Neodiprion lecontei: one gene and its partner. The protein of the gene in region 1 purifies or fractionates together with the protein of each later gene. This does not show direct contact. Links are inferred from orthologs where the notes say so. Each region holds a gene or a part of one and is shown on either strand. Other genes may lie near its edges.

Region 1 (7,482 bases):
TGTATAAAGGCATATATTCGGAAGATTGATAAACACGTAAAATGCTTCCAGGGTAGAACCAGACGGCAATTGAAAGGCACTTCGTACGTGGTTTCATACATTTCGCCATAAATCATTTTCGTGGATATTGAACGTTTTAAGTGTCTCGAGAAACCCTCGACAGCAAATGGAATATAATTGTAGGTATATGCAAATTAGCTTTTCATGGATACGCATGATTTCCATACACGTGATGCGTTTCACGCCATTTCCAGAATTTCGGTTCGGTTTGATTTATACAATCCACGGATTATTTTTTCACACAAATTGACAACTAACTGCAATTATTTATTGTTTACAAAGAATCTTCGCCAAAAACTTTATGACGAGCATCTATGCTGTGACTCAGAAATAAAACTGAAAAATACGATCTTGATGGATAATGGGAATTTTTTTTACTCGTATTTCACGGACAATCAATTTTTATATTTTTGATCCAAGATTTGGCTATTACATACATCCAAATATTACGACTTCGTTGTTATACCTTGCCAAAGAAATTACAACATTCCATTCGTTATTCGAGCCGGGAAACGTTTAGGAAATTTTGCGTCTCGGAAGTTTTCTGCTTTACCGACGCTCCTGTGATATGTCAATGCGAAAATTAACGCACATCATTCGGCCGGATCAGCGATTCCGATTTTTCCGACGTTTTTTTCCATGTGAAAAATATATTTCCCAGATTAAGGCGAGATATTATCACGTCACAAAATTAATACGACAATCACGGTACACAACGAAAAAGAAGATACTAAAATTGCTCACGTGATTAATTAATTCTATTCTAAAAAATGACGCACGCTTTGCGAACCGATCAATTACATGTAATTTTTTGTTGCGAAATTGTTGAACCAAATCTCGCGGAAACGTTTGTAGGACGAACGATCCATCACTTTCATATACTAGCTCACAAACAGTGGGCACGTGATATTTTTTATCAAAGCAGGAACGTGTCAGCAGCCTCGTCGACTTTGGATAATTAATGTGTGAGAGGCGTAACAAGCCTCGCGTTACGATTGTTACGATTTAAGGTTTAGAAAATTTTCTATTGTTAATAAAAATCTGAATAATTCTATTCCCCGATATTCGTTACAGACTGAGGATAAATTATTGGTGAATTTTTGAATTAAAATAATTATTCTTGCGTGTTGAGAGGATAAATTTTGTTTTCAAAGTTTATAAAATGTAAATTGGGAATTTAGAGTTTGTGTGAAGCAAAAAAAAAAAACTTGATTAGAGAAATACTCTAGGTCAACGGATTAAGCTTATATCAAAGCTCGGTCGACTAGGTAGAAGTTTGAAAATGATTGTGCAAAAATTTCACCTCATCCTACGTCGTTTGAACTTTCACACTTGCGGTAGAAAGCGGCGCGAAATAATCTCAGGCAAAACTCCATCCGAAACTTTTGCCTCGATCATACTTAAGTCGATAAGTATTGTTGGAAAATCGCATGACTTCCATTTTAATCGTAACAAATCTCCGGCAAGATGTTATTTAAATATTTTCGCGGGTCGTGCGAACACGTCATAACCGGAAGTTTAGCATGATTGATCGTTAACAAAAAGTTATACTGTGGTTCAGTATTTTATGAAGGAACGAAAACTCGTTGAATAATTTGATTTAAGCGTAGGAACGTTGTACGTACATATGCGAAGTTTATTAAATTTTTAAAGCAAATTTTGCGTCAAATTACGCAGACGCTTTTACTTAAACTTTGCCGAACAATGGAATATATATATACACGTATATATCTATATTCATAAATATATATATGTTTTTTGTTTTAAATATATAGATGTAGGTACATATAAATACTAAACGGTGCTGCTCGTCTTTCAGGTATTTATACACAACGCGTATACGCTGTGCTCAGTATGTATTATGCACAAACTAATATCTATTAAATAAGAATATTTAAATAACCTTAGAACATCAAACGTCTGGAGAGCTTATAAATGCAGGAATGTAGATGTACATCGGGTGACATGGAACGATTAAGGTTGTTTTGTGATGTTGCACTTGATAAAGAGATATTGTACTTGCAGGATGTGCTTTGAATAGCTTAAGGAATACTCTCAAGGCAATCTTTGATATGTTGCCAAGTTTGAAGACCCTGAAAATATCAAATGTTAGTTTATTTCCATTTTATTTCGAACAAGACTGCAATGCCAAAAACAACAGAACCAAAGTACAGCTTTTATTACCTTTCTAGCTAACTTAAACTGTAGAACACAATATGCAGCGAGAGTCTCCTTCAAATCTAGTACTTTCTGGTGCTGGAATCTTTCTATATCCACCATTGCTTTGATGGAGAAAGATCTGGAAATAAAGTGTCGACCGTTATCAACGTCCCAACCGATAACATTGCAGCCATCAAGATATTAATGAAAGTCAAAAGAGCTTAACTCACTCCAAGTCTTCGTTCGCCTGTTTCACAGCTGTTTCACTTTGATTAATTCTCTGCTCCAGCTGGTGAACCTTCAGCTCACGCACCTCTTCTGTATCCACAGACCCGAACAGACGGGATATGAGCCCAGTTTTACCTGTAAACGATGTAACAATGCGTGTAATAAATTGTTGAGAATTAGATGTTTATTCTTAGAGATTTTCGTATACCTTGCTGCAATTTATCCTTATGCTCACAAGTCGCGGTGAGAGAATCGTAGGTCTCATCGCTAACCAGTTGCAAAGCTTCTCTTCGTCTGACGACTGCCTGTAGTGCAGAAGCCCCAAATAACCACTCCTTCAATTGGTCTGCGATGAGCTCCTCCTCCTCTAGAGCTGTGTCAATACTTGCGGCTATCGAGTCTAAGTAATGTCCAGATTTCTGTAAAAATCATTCAGGATAAGGTATTAAATACCGATGAAGTGAGGAGAAGCGAGGATAAATAAAGTACCTGCAGACCATCGCCCATTTCTTTCTCTATAGCACTCCACTCGCTGAACACACGTCCATAATTAGCGTGTAATTTGTACAGTCCATATTGCTTTTCGACCAGACGTGCTCGAACTCTAAGTAGGTTGCATAAATTGCTCTGAAATGATGAATGGTGGATAAATTCGGGACATGATCGCGGAAAGGTTGAATAAACAATGAATCTTTCTGTACCCCCTTACCTGTAATTCAATTCCGTAGTTTTTTATTGTTTCAAATCGTTTATCAGGTTTTTTCAGTCTCACAGCTACGCTAAGAGCTTTTAGCTTGGATTCTGCTAGATGCAGATAGCCTAGAAGAAAGAAAGAACCGTATCACACTATGCAAGGCTCGAAAAATTCGTGCTGTAATTATGTATCCTGAATAAAATTGACCTGAAAAACTCAGCTGCTATCTTTATCAGTGGCACAAAAGTTTCAGCCAACTTTATACCTACCAGTTTCCTTGATACTCTCTCGCCAATCGTTTTCCTGCTGCAGGAAACCCATGAAGTGTTCGTCGTGTGATAACACTGGATGTGAAGCAACACGCAACAGGAAATTCTGTAGGCAATAAGCAGCGGGAAATATAGTATATATTTAAATAATTTATTAAGCAAACATAATCTACAGTCTACATCCTTACCTCAAGTCCAGCTCTACGGCGATCGACAAAGTCAGGATCGAACGTATCGGAAGCTACCTTTTGCCATCCATAAAGTACCTTCTTCTCAGGCAGCGCAGGTAACACTATGTAAGGATAAGATACCTCCAGGTAAGCCCGTAACAATTCAAATTCGGTGTAGCGTCTCCATAACGAACTAAGTTGTGTCAGAGCGCCTTTGAAGTCTGGATCGGTTACTCTGAAACACACACGATGTATCATTAGTGGGGTAAAATCTCAGGCTGAAATCAATATACTTGTTTAGAATAACAAGACCCACTCACTTGGTTTCCACCAAATAAACCGTGTAAAATTCTCTGAGATTTAAAGCTCCGTTGGCACGCTTTTCTGCCTCCACTATCACGATTTCCATATGATCAAGAAGACAATCCTGAAATGGCGAATTAGAGTAATATTATTTATCGATGATCTAATGCTCATAAAGTTTTTTAGCAATTGTTATTGAATCGGGATCTAAAGGAAGAATGTTAAAACTCTTTGATATTGAAATTTTTCAGTTACTCCCACGTTATTTACTGAAAATATTTTATTTACTTTATTGCAAAACTCGTGTTCAAATCAGAGTTGAGTAAAATTGATTGGAGAGATGGGTCACTGGGTCAACATAACAGGAGGAGGACTTTGCTGATTATCGTAGAAAGTCAACAGGCGAAGTATACATGATAATATTGTTTGTACACATGTCAGGGTGCGACTAGAGTATTTGAATTATCTTCTGCCGTTAGAATTATCGCGTTACCTATTTTTGATTCTCCCTCTCTTAAATATGTAGATCAGATCGAACTGTAATCATATGTAGGAATAATGTTTAGAAATTACAAGTAGACACTGTACCTAGGACGCGTCTCTCAATCTTCTTTCACCCCGTGATATTATACTAAAAATCATCGATGCGTATTTACCTCTTTCCGTATTATTTCCTCTGATGTAGTCATGTTGGCTGTTGTTGTTATTGTTGAGATGTTATTTCCTAGTCTATCGTCGTAATTCCCGTTTTGAAATATTTCCTCCATCGTTCCTCCGTGCAGACGGATATCGACTTCGAGTTAATATTAATTCGCGATTGTCTGTCCATCAACTCTTCGCACTACGCCAAAGTCACCTGATCACATCACGACCTATTTATTTCATCTTTGGCTAGCTAATTGCTAAAGCTGCTGAACTGACGTCGATGCAAAGCGTCGCATCGGAGGTTTCTACCCGTCTGAACCGAGCGGTGAAACAAACGCGCGTGCGCCGAAAGTCGGCGTGATGAATTTGGGCCAAGTCGCTACAGTTTGTCCATTCGTTATCAGTTTAGTCGCTCGGGTCGTCCAATACGTCCCAGAAAGCCAATACATCATATGGAAGAGAAATACTCATTCAAAAACATCATACGTGTCGATGATTAGTAGAATGTATCAAGATTCAAAACCAATGTTTTCAGCATGATATAATTAAGAATTTCAAATTACCCAAGAACCCTTGCGCAGGGTGCGCAAGAGTGGGGAGCAGTCGCAAGGTGGGGAGGCTACGTGTATAAGTCCTATGTGTTGCCCCTGCCAAGTCACCGATTAGAGTGAGAGAAAATGCCTGCAGCTGTCGTTCTTTGTTTTGTCACAGCTTCAACACTGTGCGCAAAGCGCGCAGTCTTCTCTATGGCAATACATAGGATGGACAAGTAGTACGCCCAAATTCCATACGACTGGTTTAATTATGCGACTATGCTGGTCCCATTCGTCAGAATTATACCTTTATTATTGATAATTTTATTTTTCAGTAATATTTGACATATGCAGTACAATACACTGAAAATAACCCAAATGACATTTCATTCCACGTAAAAGTTTTGTTAAATTAGGAAGATTTATAGTGAATAAAATAATTAGAAATCTGCGCAGGTTGATGAATATAGTTACTTATTAACTATTATATACGCATGCGCTAATTAAAGAAGTGATTATGTTTTACTTAGTAAATTAATCTTTTGTTAAATTTCTTGTTTCTTTTTCTTGCATCATTTTTTGATTCTGTATCGTGCTTTGTATGTATATACTTATATATACTGTTTAAGTATATGATAATTTATACTATTGCTGTTGTGAAATCCACAAACAAAAATTATATTTATAATATAGAAAATTGTTCCAAATTTTCGAACGTCATTCGAGGCTTTTCACATTGTAGACAAAAACCCCGTGCAAAATTTTTTCTAAACAGCCAACAGATGTTGACGTACAGTATATAAAAACACTCACATGCTTGACTGTTTGTCTTTGGATCTATTCAGGAGAAATAATGTTACAAAACATCGTTCCTATCAGGTGAGGTTCGAATCAATTTTCAAGTGGTTCTGTTGTACACAGACGGATGATCGTTCAAAGTGATGAAAAAAAACATTTGTCAATTAATCAGATTGTACCTAACAAATCTAAATAACTAACATTGAATAATTAAATTTTAAGGGACGCTTACTACTGGAAAAAACAAGATAACGTTTTTCACACAATAAAAATGATAAATTTCATCGGCTGATTTGTGTTATTTAGTGTCTACTCCATGATATCTCGTAAATTGTGATACACATTCTGAAAATACGTGTTTCAAAAGTAAGATCACCCACGTGAAACAACGTAAGAAAACGAAGAAAAGACGAATCTCAGCCACATCTCGATCGGCATGGACACCCAACCGACGTTATCGAAACCTTAATTTCTCACACTTAACGAAGTAGCAAACTTAACTTACCCTTTTGGCTGTTACACCTAAGTGGTAATTCAAAATTAAATTTCGTGGTTCGACTCAGTTTTGCACTAACTGGTTGGCGGAGGTGGCGGCGGCGGTTGCGCCAACAATGTCGGTAAGCTGTTCAAATCGATACCCGGCGGTGCAGGTGCCGGTTGCTGAGGTGGCGGAGGTACAGGGGCTGCTGGCGGCCATCCGCTCAGGGTTTGCTGCTGCCATCCCGGATATCCAGGAGGTGGAGCTGTTCCAGGAGGCGGAGGACGCATCGGACTTTGTTGCCCTTGTTGCCACGGTGGCATTCCTCCCATTCCCGGGGGCATTTGGCTTGGTGGCATTTGGCCGGGCGGTGGAGGCTGGTTGTTTGCAGTCATCCACGGCATCAACGGTGGAATATTGGGTTGCGTGGTTGAGCCGGGGGGCGGAGGTGGCGGCTGCATCACACCTGGAGGCGGAGGCATGCTGACCGGAGGTTGCCACTGCATATTCATACCATTCATGCTGTTCACATCGTTCTGGGTCCAGGGAGGCGGCGCCATGCCTGGTGGAGGCATCATTGGACCGCCTTGCATCATCTGCGGCGGTGGATGTGCCGGAGCTGCCATCAAAGCACGAGGCGCTTGTTGTCTGAAAGAAGTATCAATTTTTATAGCTAATATTGTGAAGAATATCAGTAACATAATTCTGGTCAAGTCAGGGAGTCGACGACTTACCTATCGAATAGACCCGGATAATTTGTGTTTTGGGAGCGTTGATGTCCCTTGGATCGATCTGGGGGTGGACCCTCGCCGAGCTCAGCCATTAGTGACATGTATTCCTCGTCAATCTTTGCTTTATCGCCACCTGGGGTGATTCCAGTCATTCCAGCAGCTGCTGGACCACCTTGACCAGGTCGTTTTGATCGACAATCTCGCGCTATATGTCCCGCGCCTCCGCAACTCGAGCATACGATGTTATTGGTAACATTGGGTTTGTCAGGACACTGGAAATAAGTTGCGAGATAATAAAGATTAGAGCTTCTGCAGCGGACCAGAAGACGAAAAGTGGTGATATACTTACCAGCCAAGATTTGTGGTCGCTTGCGCCACAGTTCGTACATCGAGGTCCGTCATTCTCTCGAAGT
Region 2 (7,224 bases), on another chromosome or scaffold:
GAAAAGATGCAACAACCGTATGCTCACACTGTTCGATTTCTTCAGAATGTAATGGCGTTTGCAGGTATGTATCTGTGAATATTTAGAAACTACTCTACGTTTGTAATGAGCATTATTGTGACTGCTGTTATTTAATAACGGAAGTTATACATAATAATTTTAATTTATTACTCTTGTACGTACATGCATCAACATAATGTATGATATATTTACGATTTGTTCATAGATAATAGCCGCAGACTGAATAGAATATTTTTCCAAATTTCTATTACTTGTTTGGTTTGATACTAATAGTAAGTTATTGAAGTATTATTTAATTTTCAGGGGAATCCATTACGAGGCTTCATGATTTCGACAACCTTGTAGAATTATTTATTACACCCTTACCTGACTCTCCAACGATGTAATAACGTATTTATGCCCAGAACAGACATCTTACGGAATATAAATTATTGAATAATGTAACTGCTGTTATCATTAATTCTCTTCCTTTTATTTGTTGAATTACTAGATGTATCATCATTCTCAGGAACTTATTGCCTCGGCACACAAGTTTGAGCACATAGTCAAGAGAGTCTTGCATTACACATGAAGGTAGGTTAAAATTAAGCTATTAAATATCCTTGTATTAAGTGATGATTAATTTTATTTAGATTTTAAGACATTGATTCTACTAAACAAGTTGAATAGTCGACAATGATAATTGTTCGAGTTTGCATAATTTTAGATATAAATTGTCACGAGATATCTATCCAAACAATTTCATGACAGAATTCGTAGATATTTGATTAATATCACACTAAAATTTAATGTATCCGCTTAACAAAATATGTATTCCATTCTAATATAAGAAATATTGGACATAGAGATTTTACATGATTTTCATGCGTAACTAACAATAGGCAAATTCATTTTATCATATCTAGTTAAGTGATTTTTTGACAAATAGTAGATGGTATATCCAAGGCGGCACAATAGGTCTCTTAACACCGAGCATAAGTTTACAATATGAGTGACAGGCAAGCATGTGCATGTATTTTGCCTCCATGGTGCAGTCGACACTTTATATAACAAAAGTGTAGTTTACTAGTTTTTCCTTCATAGCGGCGTACATAAAAGAGCTCTGTTAAGTGCTAGGACGTAAAAGTGTATTTTTGCATACTCCGATGCTCTTTTTTCATACTGTCGGTAAAACGAGTACTTTAAGTACGGAACACAGGCAAAAAGACGTGTAAACCAAACTCTGTTACATAAATACATATATTTACATGATAAAGTTTGCAAAAATTTGCCTTCATCACAGCCGGTAGTTTCAAATACTAGTGGCTAGTAAATACTTGGGAGAAAAATAAATACAATAAGTATAATACTAAGTCAATAACTTTTAATATTTCATTGGGATCAAAACATGATGAGCAAATTCAAAATGTCAGCAGATATTGAACAGCCAGCTATACAATCAGAAACTGATGTTATCCACGGATGTACGAAAGGATTATGATTGTAATATTTTAATTTTTTTTACACGATGTCAGCTTATATTACATATATTTCACTTTTATTGTCGAGAAAGATATTCATTTTAGTATTGTTATATTCTTCGGCCATTGATAACACGTGGGTATTTAAATATTTTATTATTCGATCTTAAAGTTTATGATTAATGGTAATTATACAACAGTGCGGTTTTTTTTTCTTGCATTTAAAGTAAGACTAGAATGCTATTTGAAATTTAAGCAGGAACCTTAATAGAAGGGCCCAAATTAATTTCTGTTCCGTTATCAAGTTTTAAACCTGACAGCACCTCTTCCCAGGCATTCATGCAATGTTGATAATGCAAAATCTGTTGATCCGCCATTGATATGAGCATAGTTTTCAAATCCGAACGCTTTTCTTTATTCCAACGTTCCAGATCACTACGTAAATTTTCATTAGCACATTCTACACGGTCTTGCAGGAGTTCCACTTTTTTTCCAAGCCTAGGAATGGACTGTCCAATTTTTTCTAGCTTTTCATCTCGAGATTCACCTTTCCATAATGAACCACCCCAACCAGGTGAATTACTGGAACTAGCTCCAACACCTGTCAACTACACAAATATTATCAAATTGTATAAATCAAATTATATTTGTTGTATGACAATATTCTTATAAAAAGTTGAAATTGCTCACCTGATCTTTTTCTTGGCGTTTTTTAGCCAAATCATCTACAGTCATTTCGTACTCAATTTGCATTGAATCACGCCGAACTAAAGTATCCCGTACAGCATCTATGTAGGCCAAGTATTCTCGCATATCGCTTGGGAATGAGTCAAGCACAACCTGATGAGCAACTGCATTATTTTCAATTGCTTTAGCAATTGCAGTTAAAATTGGATTTAGCTCTGGTTCAGATGTCGCCCATAGGGTAAATATTGGATGTAACTGATGTAACTCCAACAGATATTCTGTTCAACAGTAAAAAGCGAAATATTAGTAGCCAGATGATATAATTTATCTAATTCTACATGCTTCTAAACAGAATATGTATCTTCTGAGATTTAAATGTGTAAAAATTGAACTCTACCTTGTCTTTCTTTCTGAATTCGGTGGCTAATTTTGTCTATAGTTGATAGTTTATCAGCCAATGCCACGCAATAATCTCGCACCTGTTCAAATTCAAGATGCCGCTGTTTCATTGTGTACATATTAGCCATATTTTGCAGGGAATCAGTCATTTTTACGAGAACATTACTGCGGGATTTTCGATGGATAGAGAATTCCTGTTGAAAAGTATAAACATCAGTAATTTTCATAGGTAAAATTGTTTAGTATCTTTGAAATTATTTTTTTGACAATACGTACAGCTGGTTTAGCAGTCAGAAAAATGTATAAACTTTTTTCAGAGCTTAGAATTGGATGGTTCACTACACGGTTTAGAAATCCATGTAAAAGTTTCATTCGAGCCATTATAAATTCCTTTGAGTAACGATCTAGCTGTGCCAACAGCGTGTGTTTACCCGGCATTGGCTATAAGTGTGAACTATCATTTAGAATACGTATGCTTAATTAATATATACGTTATGAGTGTGTAGTGTTATAAATGAGCACTTACAGGTATAATGTGTGTTGGGTAGGTGTCGACAAGTTTCTGACGTAACCAAATGAAATCATTGTAACGACGGCGCACGACATACTCAGTTTCTTCAAATTCAGGACGTGATGTCTGAAAATTCAATTGCCATGCATGTTTGAAAATCTAGTAAAGGTTTAGATTAGTACTATACTTTTTTTTTTAATGAACTTTAATATTAACAAATACGTAAAATAACACATAGTGTGTATTCTAAAATCAAATTTATCGCTCAAAAAGTTTTGGAACATTGTTTTACATGTCTCATAAACAAGATGAAAGTGACCCTAATGTAAAAACGTTTATAGTGCTAAATGCAATGAGGTAAGCTCTCTAATTATCACATTTCCCAAGTCTAAATACATGTGTCTACATACCGTGCCGATACTTGTCTCAACAAAGCGATCTAAACTCTGTTCACTATAAATGATAATTTGTCCATATATTGTAATCAATATATGCTGCATACCCTTGTTGTAACGCGGAATGTGATGAATGTCTCCAAGGTTTCAAGATGCTTTTGAGGATTATCTACTTTCACCTGTAGATCCCGAGAGTCAATGGGGAAATCTGATATTTCTTGTTCTGGTAAAGTTGAAAAACTATCGATGGATGGAGATGCTACCTGAATGAAAAATAATTAAGTTTGATTACGCTATGGTCATATGTTGCATTAAGAATTAGTTGGATATATCTTTCTCGGCTACTAGTTAGCGGCCGAATATTCGCTACGCCTTTTGCCAATTTTCATAATTTCTTTAAAATATTCTTGTACCCGAGAAGAGATCATTCAACTGCATGAATATTATTGTTTTGCAATGTTGACGTTTTAATTGCCTAATAGTTTTCACGAATCATAAGCATCATATGATCATAAGTTAATATTGTAGGTTATACTAACCACAGATCCTTCGATCGAAGTACTGTAATTGGAGAGAAAATCTGTGTCGCGACTTTCTTGTTTCACCAAACCTCCTGCAGCCATCGAACTGACTTGAAGAACGGCCGAATCTTCCATAGTTTTTTCATCGAGCGCATCAATGTCTGTTTCCGAAGATGTCATCATTTTGATTTTTGATTGACAAGTATGAAACACTACGCCAAAGTACGCCACACAGTTACAAACATCAACCTGCAGTAAACGTAGTATAGTGAACTGTGTGGAATCGAGTGACAATCGTGACAGGTGACGTATGAGATCTACCGGTATCTGTTATGTCTGTTATCTTATAATCTTATGTTTAAACCGGAAAAAGATGTAACCGGATGTCGAGCAGTGCCGCAACGGAGAAATAGTTTCAAATTGTTGGCGGGTACCGATTGTTTTAGGTAGCATTTGTTTTTCTCGATCATAAAGCGTGTTTTTCTTGCATCCGAGGATGACGGCGAATCAATAAAGTAGTAAATAATAATCGTCTCGTAGATACCGTAGCTCTGGGATACATGTCTAATAATTAAATCTTGCCAATATTCTAATTAAATAATAATGAATTGGCAAAGTGAAGGTAATAATAGGTATGGAACTTCGAGGTTCATTGTCACGCCAAACGAAGGACGCCGTATCGTCACAGCGATTCGTTATCATCCCAAAAATCGATCCGCTGTTCATTGTATTGCGACAAATTCCCAAATCACCTACGGTGAGTATTTTTATTGACTAATTTCTCTTGCAAATCATCTTCCTGATTTCGAATCCATATGTGGCTAGGCGCGTCAGAAATTATAGCGTGATTAACTAGAATAAAATTTATCGTCAATAACGGCCAACTGTATACGCCGAGCAACCGCGGTGCTTGCACAATTGAGCTGTATTGAATTTAAGAACAAAATAAAAGTGGAAGAAAACCGAAGACGAATTCGAGAGCTCGAAACACCTGTCACGGAAGCCGAGAATTAGGAGTCGAACCCATTGCTGCCTGCTGTTACGCGGTTGGTGTAGTCCGCCGCGCGTAGGAACATTAGTCCAAGCGTAGGAAAGCAGTTCCCTAGCAATAGAGATTCCGTATAAATTTTCAGTAATTTTCGAGAAGCTGTAGGGAGGAGTGCAAGGCTGAAAATAAGTTCGCCGTTCCTAGTTTAGATGTGATTATTTTTGGGTAGAATGAACCAACATGGTGCGAGTTAAACCGAAAAACGAGGGGATTCGGACGGGTAGTTCAGCGGCGTGTGATGCCGTAGCCAAGGCGACCGCAGCAGCAGACAACTGACAATCCGCTGCTCGTCGTCAACAATATTCTAGCGTGCATATTTCAGTTCGTTTCCACGGTGATTTGCAGGGTCAGCACCGAGGAATCCTGGACGACATTAAGACACCTGTCAGGAAAGCCGGCAGGCTAGCAAACACAAGTTTATTCGTCATTCATGAAAACAGGTGCGACCGATTGATTGTGTAGTTAAGATGGCTGCATAATTGCATGCCAGTTTTTTCATTTCTGGTATTTTTGATCAAGTACCCTGTTTTCGGACAACTTTACGCTTGTTCTATCGGTCTTCTGTGAAGGTGGTGCAATTTTCGGAATCGGTCCCATTATCCTTAATTCTTTGTATAAGTAGCTTCAATGACCAGAGTTTATGCTCACCAGCAAGTTTACCCTGTCATTATATTTTCCTATTTTAAAAACCTTCCAATAATACAGATTTGGTTGTTCAGTTGTTTTAAACTATTGATAATCAACTAAGAAAGTTTTACAAAAATTCGTTACACAAATAATCGGTGCAACTTCGAGAAATATGGAACAAAATGACAAAGTCATTGAGCCAAGGTAAAAAAATTCTACCTTGAATATCACAAATCATTAATCTTTGAAGCTAAGGGTGCTCTTATCTGTTTGTCATAATTTAATCGAGTTGCACCATTGTTCATATTTTTTTCCAATACTGCAATGCGGTATAATTTTTATAAATGAAATTCTTAGATCTCACACATACATGAATTAAATAAAAGCTCTGTTCATAACATTTCTTGGAACATTGTACACACTCCTGAGTGAAAGCAATATATGACAGTATTTCTATTGATCTCAATTATCCACAAGTAACAATAAGTAAATAAATAATTAATAAAATAATAAATCAACAATATAAGATCAGAGAAATAGAGGAGTACACTGGAGTGTGATTTTTTGTCTAGCCTAGTTCTATTAGGTTCACTTTCACCCCATCATACTGCAGGTATCATACGTTCTTTCCTGCACCCTAGCAAATTTATAAGCCACATTACAGCATCACATGCACCACTGAGTTTTTTCAATTTCGCACGCCATGCCACCCTCTGGCCTATAGAATTGAATACCGATCAAATCCACCAGGGTTTCAATTAAAACCGTCTTATACATATTACTATATCAGATTATTAAGTCTTTCGATGCAATATACTATAATTCAGAGATTCTTGAATGAGTAAGAATAGATAGTTTAATTCTACAAACGAATACATGCTTGATAATACCATATAGCTGTTTGCATTTTCATTTATTATCAAGCTTGGAATAATTTTATGGATACATAATATTTACAACTAAATCTTATTTCTAGGTAATAACAAGGGTGGAGGAATGAGTATATGGGGTATTCCATGCCAACTAGACCTGCCGCCAACCCTCACCATCTTCGATTTGGCTTGAACTTTAATATTGTATTTGAGGGGTCGAAAAAGTAGCCAATGAATTATTTCAGATTTTTTTGACCACCGGTGAAAAAGTTATTTCATTTTCACACTAATTTATATCCCACCATGCGTCAGTCGTACGAAACAGTCATTAATACAAAAATTCATAGCGATAACGTGAAATGGAAGGAAATATTTTTTACCGATTTTTTAAGCGACTTGATAAATTCTTTTTGTTTTTCAAACACAGTCTAAAATCGCAATTTTCATAGTGTTGGCCACCTTTAATCTTCAATGAAATTTGCACCATGAATTTCTTGTGAAAATACCTAACTTTTAAGACCTTCCCAAAGATGGAGAGATCTTTGGTTCAGAAGTTCCAATCAAACGAATATCAAGGAAACGAATAATATGGGAGTACCTACCTAAACTAAATGCCTACGGAAATGAGTTATATCTTACAAGTGAAATTATCAGAATCAAATTAATTATTCATTTGTTTGGTA

What was found.
Region 2: the proteins of sorting nexin-4 (region 1) and sorting nexin-30 purify together in Homo sapiens (co-immunoprecipitation; 4 studies listed by BioGRID and IntAct, counting the BioPlex papers as one, with this or other methods). This does not show direct contact. The link is inferred for Neodiprion lecontei from reciprocal best matches to the Homo sapiens genes SNX4 and SNX30.

What each region holds. Positions count from the first base shown.
Region 1 is NC_060260.1:2,605,704-2,613,185, forward strand, and holds sorting nexin-4, read right to left. Parts: upstream 4,823-7,482; 5' UTR 4,652-4,822; coding exon 4,541-4,651; intron 4,009-4,540; coding exon 3,902-4,008; intron 3,817-3,901; coding exon 3,600-3,816; intron 3,518-3,599; coding exon 3,412-3,517; intron 3,268-3,411; coding exon 3,158-3,267; intron 3,076-3,157; coding exon 2,938-3,075; intron 2,868-2,937; coding exon 2,657-2,867; intron 2,584-2,656; coding exon 2,451-2,583; intron 2,360-2,450; coding exon 2,245-2,359; intron 2,154-2,244; coding exon 2,103-2,153; 3' UTR 1,670-2,102; downstream 1-1,669. Other genes in the region: splicing factor 1, read right to left, coding at 6,431-6,986, 7,073-7,341, 7,419-7,482. UniProt on the Homo sapiens protein: Involved in the regulation of endocytosis and in several stages of intracellular trafficking. Plays a role in recycling endocytosed transferrin receptor and prevent its degradation.
Region 2 is NC_060263.1:34,516,298-34,523,521, reverse strand, and holds sorting nexin-30, read right to left. Parts: upstream 4,352-7,224; 5' UTR 4,178-4,351; coding exon 4,013-4,177; intron 3,737-4,012; coding exon 3,581-3,736; intron 3,205-3,580; coding exon 3,094-3,204; intron 3,009-3,093; coding exon 2,844-3,008; intron 2,762-2,843; coding exon 2,566-2,761; intron 2,447-2,565; coding exon 2,172-2,446; intron 2,090-2,171; coding exon 1,733-2,089; 3' UTR 1,363-1,732; downstream 1-1,362. Other genes in the region: uncharacterized protein LOC107218731, read left to right, coding at 1-64, 325-403, 512-566; DNA-binding protein RFX2, read left to right, coding at 5,473-5,482. UniProt on the Homo sapiens protein: Involved in the regulation of endocytosis and in several stages of intracellular trafficking. Together with SNX4, involved in autophagosome assembly.